3 linked regions of the Nothobranchius furzeri genome follow. The protein of the gene in region 1 binds, or shares a complex with, the protein of each later gene. Links are inferred from orthologs where the notes say so. Each region holds a gene or a part of one and is shown in the gene's direction. Other genes may lie near its edges. The genes, in order: os9, protein FAM8A1 and herpud1.

Region 1 (4,065 bases):
GTCTTCTTCTCAAACCGAATCCAAACCGGACGGGAGAAACTGTCATGTCGCTGTTTTTAAATCCAAGGGAGAAACGAGCCTAGCCTGCCAGGTCCTTTCTCGGTTCCTCCCTTCCTCCCAACGAGCGCGTACCTGAATAGCTGTATCGCTTGAGTCCATTCAAATACCGGGCCACTGCCCCAGACGTCCTCCGCACTGCACAGCACCCTTGGTTAAACGAGGATTTCCTAATCTTCTGTTCAGCAAATAGAGAGCTGAAACCCCAGAATCGACACGGGCCCACTAGCCTACCTTTAAACACGCCGCATCCATAAAAACGTGACTATTATTAACCGAACGCACCTATGCATCCAGATAAACGCGCATCTCCTGGTTTTGACATTTTCATCGAGAATTCCTGCTGTAATAAAGACCAAAGCATTTTTTTTCTTATGTGAAGATGAGCAAATAGGCTACTCAATGTTCACACAGAGCAGGAAATCCCAAGTAAAAGACGGACAGGCCCTTTTTCCCAATCTGAAGCTTATTAAAATAGAAAAATCCCAGGAATATGCAGCTCACCCCAGTGAAGATGTGTCACCTCCCTCCTTCACCAAGCGCTCCCTTTTTAATGAATGCGTTCCCCAAGAGTCTTGCAAATGGAATTAGATGAAGAAGAAAAAAAGCGGAGCAGAGGCAAATAAAAACGCGGCCGCACATCGCAACACATCGCGCTGTGGAAGAGACTCCCCCTGCAGCAACAGCGGCTGCACAGCAACCGGGGATCCAGAATGAAGTCTGCACCCCACAAAATGTGATTTGTGCTTAAAGATACAAAAGTAACAACAATTGAGTTATTTCTTAAAAACATCAACGTCTTTTAAAAATAAAATTTAAAGTAAGATATGTTGTGTGAGTGGGCGTCTATGCTAATTCATTTTGTGTGTGCTTCTTCCAGGAAATAAGACTCAGTTTATACTGTAATAATAATTAATTTTTAAACTATAGACAAAATAAACGCCTCATTCATTAGACCAATGATGCAGATCTAAATCAGTATGCGTGTGCGTTTATTTTATGTATAGTAAAGTAAAGCGTCAGCAGACAGTTCGGGTGTTGTTCGTTAGTTAGCGGTGCCTGTGTCGCCCGTTTAAATCGTCCCTGTAACAAGAAACTAGTACACACTGGAAGTAAAAAAACTGGTGACTGACATTAAATTCAACCAATCGTAGAGCAACAACTTTGACACTAACCAATCAACGTCTACCATGTCAGGCGTTCTGTGTTTTGATGCTTGTACAGCGCTTGGTGTACGAAGAGTGTTAACGATGGCTGCCTCCTTATTATTGCGGTGGCTGAAGAGACTGTTCCTTTTTGTGTTGATATGCCCCCTCTGTGTTCCAGCCTTCTTGAATTTGGAAGAGTTAAACGAAATGAAATACGGGATTCAAATTCTGTCTGACCCCGTGATATTAGGGCAGGTGAGTGGGGGCTATAGATGCTAACGTGTAGCTTGTTAGCTATAATGTAGGCTACAGCTTGCTAGCGATAAATATATTAATTCCTTTAGGTTATTTAATTACAAATACAAATAACATGTTTGTTTAAGCTCAGCAAGAAACGTTAAGATATTTTGCCAATTCGTGCGAAGACAGAAATTGTTAATTTATGAGCGACAACTGTGACAGCTGTCTTGACAACATGTACACACACACACACACACACACACAAAACACCTGACCAATTAACTACTGCCAATATACTGTGTAGCTTCCCTTTAATTATTACTGGGGTTTCATCACAGTGTTTATTTTTCAGACCAAGACAGAGGAAGTAATGATGGTGTCTAATAAATACAAGCAGCTCTATGAATGTCGACTACCAGCCCAGGCTGTCCGCTTTCACCAGGACCCAGCCTCCGAGCCTGACTCTCAGGCCTACACCGGCCCAGACATCCCAGACCTGCTCAAGCCTATGCACAAATCTCCATGTTTACTAAAGGTATTCTCTCACTTTTCAGGTGTCAATCAATGCTTATTTATGTAATTCGCTTATTAAATACGTATGTAATTAAGTGATTAAGAGCTCTGTACAGACCTCATCACACATACTGTCACCAATTAACAATTGTTTCTTTTCAAATTACATAGTTATAACATTGTGCAGGTGTAATCAAAAAAACGTCAAATACTTTCTGGATTATGATCCCTCAAGCTGCTTTTAAACATTTTTTTAAAGACGTGTGTACTTTTTATTAGTTTACATTCATGTGAGATTACATAATTCACTATGTGGACCAAGATTCAGATCAGAAGTGGCATGAGCTAGATCGACCAACTATCAGTACCAGTCAAATGTTTGAGAGAGACACCTGTCACACACCTGTTTAATATGCAGGTGTTGCCAAACTGTTGACTGCACTATGCAAATGACCTCATTTGAAATTTGCTGTCATTATTTCCTGCAGACAAAAGACTGGTGGACATATGAGTTTTGCCATAGTAAACATATCCAACAGTACCACCTTGAAGGTAAAAATATTCTGATTAAGCATTCTTAATTGACTTATTTTTCTAATGACAAATTGTGGGCAAATTATAAATACAAAGGGCAGTTTGCCTGCTGTAAACTTACATATTTATCAGACCTTTTTGAGTGTTGTGTTTTTATCCAGGTCTTCTAATGGATGGATGGATGTGCATGTAACTAAGAAACAAGAGAATTGCTTTCATATAACCATGTTGTTTTCAGTAATGCTGCAATTTAGCCAATACTTTTACTAACTTCATTGTGTTTTATTAAAAGACAAAAATATCTGGGAACTCATCTGGATTCACATCATTAGGATATGAACTGCAGTCAACCTGACCTGTAGATTATACGCTACTGTCTATTTAAAAAATCTGTGTCTTAAGTAAAATGTTTTTTACACTTTCTCTGATGTTATTTTTAAACATCTTACAGACAGCTAACTGTGAATCCTCCTCTCTCAGTAAAAATATCCTGCTAGTTTGTGTTTGTGCTTGTCTTTAGTGTGATCACTGAGACAGGATTGTGCCTGGTATATCAGTCAAGCCACTAAAAGCTGATTCTGTTTACCGTTCATCTGTGCATTTCTAGAAAAAAAAAACAAGTTAAACTTGTGTTCTTACACTTATAGTAGCTGTGCACCTTCTGACAGTTAAAGATTCAAAAGTCTTTAACACACGGAGAAATGTTGACATAACATTTTTGCAAACTTGTATAAGTCTAAAAATACATTTTCCAGGTCTGATTATCGTCTGCATGTTTTTAAGACATGTTTGTGACTGATGTTCTTTTTTTTTAGACACAGAAATCAATGGGGGTGTTCTTTATCTGGGATTTTATGAGTCTGAATTTGACTGGAACAATGAAACGGCAAAGGTAAAGTTGTCTTTATTAACTACAAAAACTAAGAAATAAAACAACTAACTACAGACCCAGGGATATTAGGCAACTTTTTCATATTTTTACATCATTTTCTATATGTGCTAAAATGACCCTTTACAGGGTTAATGAAATTTCACTCAGACCCCCATCACACTCTGTGGCCAGAATACCGCATTTTTAACATTAGAGTGTCGGTCCAGTTTGTTGGACTTTAAAAAAAAAACACTGGAGCTGACCAACCTGGGGTTGCAGTCTGCTTTCAGCATGTTTCCTGCATGTTTTAGATCACGAACACAGCTGATTTGTTTAATTTAGTGCTGGATCACTCCTGTAGACATTAATGAAGGCTGGGGAGACATTTCATCTGTTTGATTAAGGTGTTAAAAAGAGGAATGCACATTAAGTAGATGTCTTTTGTTTTTGGTTCTTCTAAACAGACACTACAGGTGCTAAAAGCAAGCCAAAACACCCAATCTCCCTTTAAATGTAGGCCTCTTCAAACACTGTTGACAGAAAATGCTCAGAAATATCTGTATGTGCTCTTAAAGTTGCCTCTTTATGAGATAAATGACTGTAGGATATGCATTCAGTTTTCCTTCTTTTTTTTTTTTTTTACTTAGCTTCTGTGTGTTTTGTGACATTAAAACCAAATAGCAGTTTTACAATTGCTAAAGA
Region 2 (4,187 bases), on another chromosome or scaffold:
ACTCAGTTTAATATCTCCAGTCAGGCGCTTCAGTGGTTTGCCTCATATCTCTCACACAGGAAACAGTTTGTGGTGTGGGATGGGGTTAAATCTCCATATTTAGACTGTGATACAGGAGTTCCTCAAGGATCTGTTCTTGGGCATTTATTGTTCTCTCTTTTTATTAATAACTTACCTGAAGTCTGTCCAGACATATTTGCTCAAATGTATGCGGATGATGCAGTTATATTTACGCAAGCAAACAGTGTCCAGCAGGTGGCAAAAGATCTTACAGCTGCTTTAGCATTAATGCTTAGCTGGCTGGAGGACTCATGCCTAATGTTGAACACCTCAAAAACTGTCTGCATGTTTTTTTCAAAACGCCCCTTAAACTAGAAGCAGTCAAATATATTCCTGGATGGAGTAGAGCTTGATCTAGCACCAGAATTTAAATATCTTGGGGTAATTCTAGACCCAACATTATCCTTCAAGAGTCATATAAATAAAGTGTCCCAGGTACTTAAATTTAATAATCTAAATTTTACTCATATACGTAATAATCTAAATATGAATGTTGCAAAAACTTATTTTTACTCGATGATCATCTCTCATACGGACTATTGTTTGACATCCTGGTCACTTGCTTGTCCAACAACACTTAAAACTAGTGCAAACATTTATAAAAGTTTAAAATTACTTGACAAAAACCGACTTCCCACCACCATTGTCATGTGTTAAAAAACATAAATTACTGAACTTCACTAACTTAATGAAACTTAAAAGAGTCTGTTTAATATATAAAGTCTTACACTCCCTTGCTCCACCACCACTAAAGCAGTTCATTAGGCATAAAGAAAGCTCAAACAGGACTACACGAGCTACAATTCGAGGAGAAATGTTTATACCACATAGACAGACATCTTTTGGGCAGAACGTCCTCTGTCAAGGGTGGCCATCTGTGGAACAGTCTTCCTCAACCCATTAGAGAATGCTCGACTCAAGGCAAAGGTTAAAAACTGGTTATGGACAAATCAAGTGTGTGATCATGTATGAGTTTTATAGTTTTAATGTTTCATTTGTGAATAGAATGGTGTGTATGTGTAAGTTTGGTGAAGGAGTTTTTATTATGAATGAATGATGAATTTTTATGAATTATTATGTCTTTTTATGTCAACAGATGGAAATTAGAATTTTTGGCTATAATCTGGCATGTTTACATTCATGTAAGCTGCTTTATGTTCATTAACATGCACTGTCCAAAATAAACAAATAAATAAAGATAATGCGGTCAAACTGAAACTGTAACAGCGAAACCCTGACCTCCTGTGGCCGTGTCTAGTAGTGCAGCTACTGATTGGACTGTACCACTATGTGCTGAAAAGCGGGGGAGGGGCTGAAGTTCTCCTGCTAAATAAATGCTTTATTAAAAGTTTTCACCTTATAAGCTTTTGTATATCAGCTGTTAACCTCTCATCAAATATGTATAATCGATAACTATTTGTTTTCACTTCTGTTTAGCTTCTTTCTAAATGATTTGGCATCAATGACGTTTTACGACGTTACGGTGCTTGTAAACATGGCGGACATGAACAACAAAGCTGTGGAAGTGGATGAAGGAGAAAATAAACCTTCTGGTAAAGATGTAATCCGTGGTTCAGACAACCAGAAGAAACCTTCCGCTGACGGTGGAACCACAGCGGAGTACTGCGAGAAGCTGCAGACATGGATGTGGCAGTACTACGCTGGCTATGTGAACTGGCAGAGCTGGCTAGCGGCGTCGGCGGTGTCCTGCCCTTATTTACAGCCACCCAGCGGAACCCCCACGGCTGGTGACTGGCATGCCGGCCCACTCGGGCTTCCGTTGTTGCCGTATCCACCTGCGGTCAGCCGAGCGGGTGAAGCCCCCGTCGGCGCTGCCGCGCAGCAGCACCAACCGCCGCCTCAAGCTAACGGAAACGCGCAGAGACCGGGTAAACGCTGCAGCTGGTTCATGTCCAAACGTTCACTTGTGACCACACACCCAAACATGCTCTTCGTTTAATAAAAAGTAGGAGTTACGGTACGGTTCACTACGGGCTGGGATAAGACTGAAAGCTTTTCAGAAGGCCAAATGTATTATTTTATAGTTTGTGACCTGAACGCAACACGAGTAGTGAGTGGCTTTTGCGGCCGGGTTATGACGTCACACCAGGACAGCGATGAATGAAACTTGTGAAGTGAAATAAAGACAAACCGTTGATGAGACATCTAAAGTGTTCACTAAAGCCACGTTTAGCACCTTCTGGAACATTCTGTCGTCGACTCTCTTGTTTTTATTCAGGTTAAACTCCAATTATGACTCAGATGATGACTGAATCAGACCGCGTTGACACTAGTAAGGTTAATGTGACGTTTGTGTCTCACTTTTGGGAAAATAAACCTTGAACGTTTGGTTTCTCAGCCTCTGAAGGACTAAAACTTACCGCTGTGTCTCGCTTCCACCAGGGCGGGAGTACAGCATCCCCTCTCCTCTCCAGAGACTCATGGCGGAGATGGTGGACTTCTTCATCTTGTTTTTCATCAAAGCTTCTATAATCATCAGTATTATGCATCTGAGTGGAATCAAGTGGGTTAATTAGATTTGGTGTAAACAGCGTTGTCATGACAACAGAAACACCATGACCATAACATTTGGATTTTTTTGTCTTTTCCATTGTTTTTAGGGATGTTTCCAAGTTTGCCATGCATTTGATCGTGGAGGAGATCGACGAGGACACGTCGATGGAGGAGCTGCAGAAGATGATGCTTGTTGCTCTAGTGTACCGGATCTTGGTGTGTTTTTATGAGGTGAGGCTCACTGCCGGTTTAGACTCAAGTCTGTGTTTTAAACGTTTTAGGAAGACTCGAGGTGAACTTTCACGCTTTTCTCCTGTCAGATTGTGTGCATCTGGGGAGCAGGAGGTGCCACGCCAGGGAAGTTTCTCCTCGGACTCAGAGTCGTTACGTGTGACTCGTCGGTTCTGGTTCAGCCCAACAGGGTGCTCGTGGTGCCAGCCACTAACGTCTCTCTCTCTGCGTGAGTGGCTCGTTTATGTTTCAGGGAGCTGTCTAAGGAGGCGGTTGGGAAGACTGAACTCTTGTTTCTGTCCGTCCTTCCAGATCAACTGTCCGGGCTTTGAATAAGAACTTCTCCATAGCCTTCTTCTTCCCAGCCTTCATCACACTCCTCTTCTTCCAGCACAACAGGACTGTGTATGATATGGTTGCCGGTACCATCGTTGTCAAGCGATCCAGAGCCAGATGACGCAGAACGGGACGCGTAAAATGACTCTGATGTTTTAGTGAAGCGGCTCCCAGAGCCACTGCTGTGTTCACGCGTCGCAGCAGAGTTCAGGCGTTTGCTGGGAGCCCGCATCCGTAAGAACTGCTTCCGTTCATCGTGACCAGCACTGTTTTTCTGCATGCATGTCCAGATAATGTTTCCGGTGTCTCCTCCTGGACCAACAGGAAGGATGATGGGGATTTAGCCCGTTTTCGGCACAAGTTGCACCTTCACTTCTGTGTGAGGCGAAGGGCGAGTGCCGCCCGCTGCTCAGTATTTAAGCCGCTGATGATTTCGTATTTCACCCCCAGTATCTGGCCGTTTCCGCCGGTCTCCAAAGCGGACGAGAGGTCGTGTAAAATGCAAACACGAAAAGTTCTTTTCTTGGAAAGGTGTGCATAGATTTAGGTTTGATTTGATCCGCCCTGTTTAAGGCTGAGATGGAGGCACATTTAAAGGTTTTTCTCTGTAAGCCGAGGTGTATCGGACGCTAAATGTTAACCGTTTATGTATTTCATTAGCATTTCTGAATGTTCTCTGAATAAAACCAGGCCTGTGGCTCTGAAAGCATGAACTCTTGTGCATTTATACTTTGTGTGAGTTACACGGGCCACGTGTGCTAAAGCAGCACACGTATGGTTGGTTATGTGAGGAATTCTGTTTCCACGTGTTTTCTTCTCACATTCATGTTTTATTTGTGTTTCTAGATAAAAGATTTCCAACGTGCTCTTAGCTTATCGGTTTTGGTTCAGGTCCTGCAGATTGCAGCCTTTCTCCTATGAGTCTAGAGATGTTCTCCACCTTAAACAGCTAAAGCAGCAGGACATCTTTAACTGTCCCACTCATCCTTCTAACTGGGAGTCTAGTCGCCGACTGGTTCTGGGATGCTGTAGCTGTTTGTGTCTCA
Region 3 (4,056 bases), on another chromosome or scaffold:
ACATCTTATTATTGACTAACACTTTGTTTGATTAGCTAATAGCTTTATTAAAATAGAGTTCTTTGATTTATTAAAAGGAGAGAGTCCGTTCTTCATTCTTCTCTTGAGCTGGAAAGAAGCAGTTTATAGCAAATGCATGAGACCTTGAGGCCGTATCTCATGCAGACTAGTTCTGTGTCAGAGGAGAGGGGGAAATGACTTTTGGTGGAAAACAGTCATTTCATTCCGTTACGATATTTTTTTTATCTTTTTTTCAATAAGTTTTAAATTATATTTTCTTGTGAAGCGCTTTGTCATTTTTATCTTGTGAGGCACAATATAAAAGATTTTATTTCTTTGTTTTAATTCACATATTTTCAAAATGTAAAACAGTGCAAATGTCAGCAGCCTTTCCTTATTTACAACAATTTTAATTTGATATCAAACAGAAAGTCATGGTGATGCATCTTTCAGGTTCTGTATTTGCGACTTTTCTATTTTGAATGTTTGTCTTTTTCATGCTGGAGATTATTAGGCTGACAAATCTTTTATCCTCCACTTTCCTGTGTTTTAAGCATGTTGGCCTTCAGCACAACATGCTATTGAGCTCAAATTAGTCACAAAGGTACCAAAATCCCAAATATCCAAGGTTTACAAAATTATTTTTACTTCAAGCATAAAGTTGTTAATGGTAAACATTACTGCACAGACCCAGTTGTATCTTAACCGCCTCGTGATTTTTATCTTGAGGTGCTATATAAATGATCGTTTTCTTTCTTTTACCTAATTTGGTCATAATAAAATGTAAAAACCTGAATGAAAATACCTCAATTTCAAAAACTTTAATTTGTCTTTAGCAGTCAATGGCTTGACTTGCTGATGCAACATTTGTTATGTAATTTCACTGAAATGATCTTTTCTGATCAGGGAGTAAAAAAAAGAAAGATGTCTTACTCTCTTTCCAAGCAACAAAACTGGTAATTGTATGTCTCGTAGAAAAACAGTTAAAAATTATAACTTAATGTATATAACAAAAAATGTATTTAATTTACCTAATTTATCCATCTTTCTTTTAGATTTTATTGTGTCTTTTGGTTGTTTTTATTATTATTATTCAGAATATTTCATTAAATTTAAATCCGAGTGTACATCTCAGACAAAAATTAACGATCTATGAAACTACTTTCTTTTGCGCATGCTCACAGGGGCTGATTTTTCCACCAGACTCCACGTCAGAGCGCGAGCAGCCTGTAACCAATCAGAAGCGGCCACCGTGTGTTTGGAAACACGACCTTCCTCTTCTAAAGTCCCGTATGACGAGCTGCAGAGACATTTCTAGAATAAACACTGACCGAACTTTCACTGTTTGTTAGTGGTTTAGCGCTGATTTTATTCCCGTCTTTCCACACGTTGTTTCAGTCAGAACAGTTTTATTCGTTTCTGAAGAACATTATTGTGAATAGCATCAGCTTTAGCCCGAGTCTACATCGAGTGAGAAGAAGAGTGGAAATGGACGTGGGAGATTCGCAACAAAAGACGACCAGTCTGCTCATCAAAACGCCCAACGAGGCTCAGGAGGACCAGATAATAGAAGGGGTCCACTTGAGGTGGACCGTGAAGGACCTGAAGACGTATTTGTCGACTGTCTACAAAACCAAACCGGTGAGTTTAAAGTTAGCCGACAACTGTTAGCGGAACTTGGCTAAAGGGTGTGTTGTGGAATGTTTGGACCCCAGACCAGCTGCGAATTTAACAGCTGTCAGCCATTCCTCTGTCTTTATGGGCCAGTAGATGTTTGTTTTTATTTAATTTCCTCAGAAATGATCTGTTCAGGGATCTCACTTAGGTTAAATTTAGCTCAACATGTATTTTTAGAGATTCACGGCAGCAAAATTAGGTTTCTATTTTTTACTAATTAAGCTCTTATAGCACAAGGTATGGTATGAAAAATAATCTTCCATCCATTTATCCATTTTCATCCGCTAATCCGGAGTCGGGTCGCGGAGGCAGTAGCCTAAGTCGAGAGGCCCAGACTTCCCTCTCCCCAGCCACTTGGGCCAGCTCCTCCGGGGGAATCCCAAGGTGTTCCCTGGCCAGGTGAGAGACATAGTCCCTCCAGCGTGTCCTGGGTCTTCCTTTAGGTCTCCTCCTGGTTGGACGTGCCCACAAAACCTCACCAGGGAGGCTTCCAGGAGATATCCTGACCAGATACCCGAGCCACCTCAACTGGCTCCTCTCGACGTGGAGGAGCAGCGAGTCTACTCCGAGCCCCTCCCGAATGGCCGAGCTTCTCTCCCTATCTCTAATGGGCCATTCCCATCTGTACCGGGTCGGCCCGGGCCGGGTAGCCCCAGTCGGCCCCAGCCTGGCCCAGTTGATTCCACACATCCTTGCCTTAAGCCCATGTGGGCTGATTCTACCCACCAATCAGAGGCTTGCTCTAATGGAAGGTGTGAATTTGCTGTCAGCAGTGGGTGTGTTGGCCCTGGTCGGCCTGAAGCAGACCCCCTCGAGAAGAGGGCTGAGAATGAGCCTTGGTTGGCCCGGAAAAGTACCAGGCCACCCAGATATGTAAACAACCTACGCTACCCGGCCCGGGCCGACCCGGTACAGATGGGAATGGCCCATATGAGAGAGCCCAGCCACTCTTCATAGAAGACTTATTTTGGCCGCTTGTATCCGCGATCTTGTCCTTTCGGTCACTACCATGACCGCTCATGACCATAGGTGAGGGTAGGAACGTAGATCGACCGGTAAATCGAGAGCTTCTCCTTCTGACTCAGCTCTCTACCCTCTCATTCACTGGGGTAAACCCCAACGTACAGGCACCAAGATGGGGGGCAACTAGTATGCCCACCCCTGCTCGGCGCCTCTCAGTGGGAGCAACTCCAGACTGGTAGAAAGTCCAACCCCTCTCAAGGAAACTGGTTCTAGAGCCAGAGCCATGCGTTGAGGAGAGTCTGACTATATCTAGTCGGAACCTCTCAGCCTCACACACCAACTCAGGCTCCTTCCCCACCAGAGAGGTGACACTCCATGTGCCAAGAGCCAGCTTCTGTAGCCGAGGATCAGACCACCAAGGTCCCCGCCCTCGACTACCACCCGACACACACTGCACCCGACCCCTTTGGCCCCTCCCACGAGTGGTGAGCCCATGGGAAGAATATTCTTATTGGTTTATTGAGCCTCTGTTGTTAATCTGTTGTTTTTGTATTGTAAGTAGCAAATTCACAAGGTGTGATGTTCCTTCAGACTCCCAGAAGATGAAGGGATGATCAGAGAGATGAAAGGGTGCAGTTAGCTGATAAGACCTGTCCAACCATCAGGTGCTGTGAGATAAATGCTTAGTTTCCATGTAAAGTTAATGATTACTGATCAAGACCGTGTAACCTCTGGGTAATTCGCCATGTGTGTTTATATTTGTGAGCTGGCTCGGGCTGTGTTAAAGAACATGAACCTCATAAACTAACTTGTTTGTGTTTTTTAAAGGCCGTGTGCGATCAGAGGCTGATCTTCGCTGGCAAACTGCTCCCAGATCATCTACTCATCAAAGAGCTCTTCAGACAGGTCTGTATTCAGATTTTATTTTATTATTATTTTTTTTTTTATCCAAGTTCGTCTAGATCAGTGGGGTTCAATTCTGGTCCTGGTGCGCTGCATGTTGCAGCCATCCCCCATCTCCAGCACACCTGAATTACCTGTTCTGTTTGTTAATCACGCATGTAAATCAAACCAGGTGTGTTGGTGAAGCTAAACATAGAAAACAAACAGGTAGTAGCCCTCAGGGACCAGAACTGAAAAGCCCTTGTCTAGATTCATCTTAACACCCACCTGAATATCAGGTTGAACATATTTACATCAAACCGTTCACCATCACAAATGAACAGTTTTCAAACATTGCAATTATTTAATGTCTCTAGAATACGTTTATAAATCAACCTCTTCTGATAAACAGCCTCTAATTCCCAAATCCTCAGATTCCCGTTAGTTTAATAAATGTGGGACAGGATAATATTTCATGGATTGATTGTTATGGAGGTTTTCCGGGTCAGACTCTACTGTTCCATTTGGATCGGC

What was found.
Region 2: os9 (region 1) and protein FAM8A1 share a complex: the UniProt entries of both Homo sapiens proteins name them as parts of the HRD1 complex. The link is inferred for Nothobranchius furzeri from reciprocal best matches to the Homo sapiens genes OS9 and FAM8A1.
Region 3: os9 (region 1) and herpud1 share a complex: the UniProt entries of both Homo sapiens proteins name them as parts of the HRD1 complex. The link is inferred for Nothobranchius furzeri from reciprocal best matches to the Homo sapiens genes OS9 and HERPUD1.

Annotation. Positions count from the first base shown.
Region 1 is NC_091743.1:48,732,279-48,736,343, forward strand, and holds the start of os9 (protein OS-9), read left to right. Parts: upstream 1-1,256; 5' UTR 1,257-1,307; coding exon 1,308-1,460; intron 1,461-1,797; coding exon 1,798-1,980; intron 1,981-2,446; coding exon 2,447-2,510; intron 2,511-3,307; coding exon 3,308-3,384; intron 3,385-4,065. UniProt on the Homo sapiens protein: Lectin component of the HRD1 complex, which functions in endoplasmic reticulum (ER) quality control and ER-associated degradation (ERAD).
Region 2 is NC_091745.1:80,669,216-80,673,402, reverse strand, and holds protein FAM8A1, read left to right. Parts: upstream 1-1,376; 5' UTR 1,377-1,522; coding exon 1,523-1,949; intron 1,950-2,441; exon of another isoform or gene 2,442-2,463; coding exon 2,464-2,584; intron 2,585-2,681; coding exon 2,682-2,805; intron 2,806-2,894; coding exon 2,895-3,034; intron 3,035-3,117; coding exon 3,118-3,262; 3' UTR 3,263-3,854; downstream 3,855-4,187. UniProt on the Homo sapiens protein: Plays a role in the assembly of the HRD1 complex, a complex involved in the ubiquitin-proteasome-dependent process of ER-associated degradation (ERAD).
Region 3 is NC_091744.1:85,515,336-85,519,391, forward strand, and holds the start of herpud1 (homocysteine-responsive endoplasmic reticulum-resident ubiquitin-like domain member 1 protein), read left to right. Parts: upstream 1-1,247; 5' UTR 1,248-1,488; coding exon 1,489-1,641; intron 1,642-3,468; coding exon 3,469-3,546; intron 3,547-4,056. UniProt on the Homo sapiens protein: Component of the endoplasmic reticulum quality control (ERQC) system also called ER-associated degradation (ERAD) involved in ubiquitin-dependent degradation of misfolded endoplasmic reticulum proteins.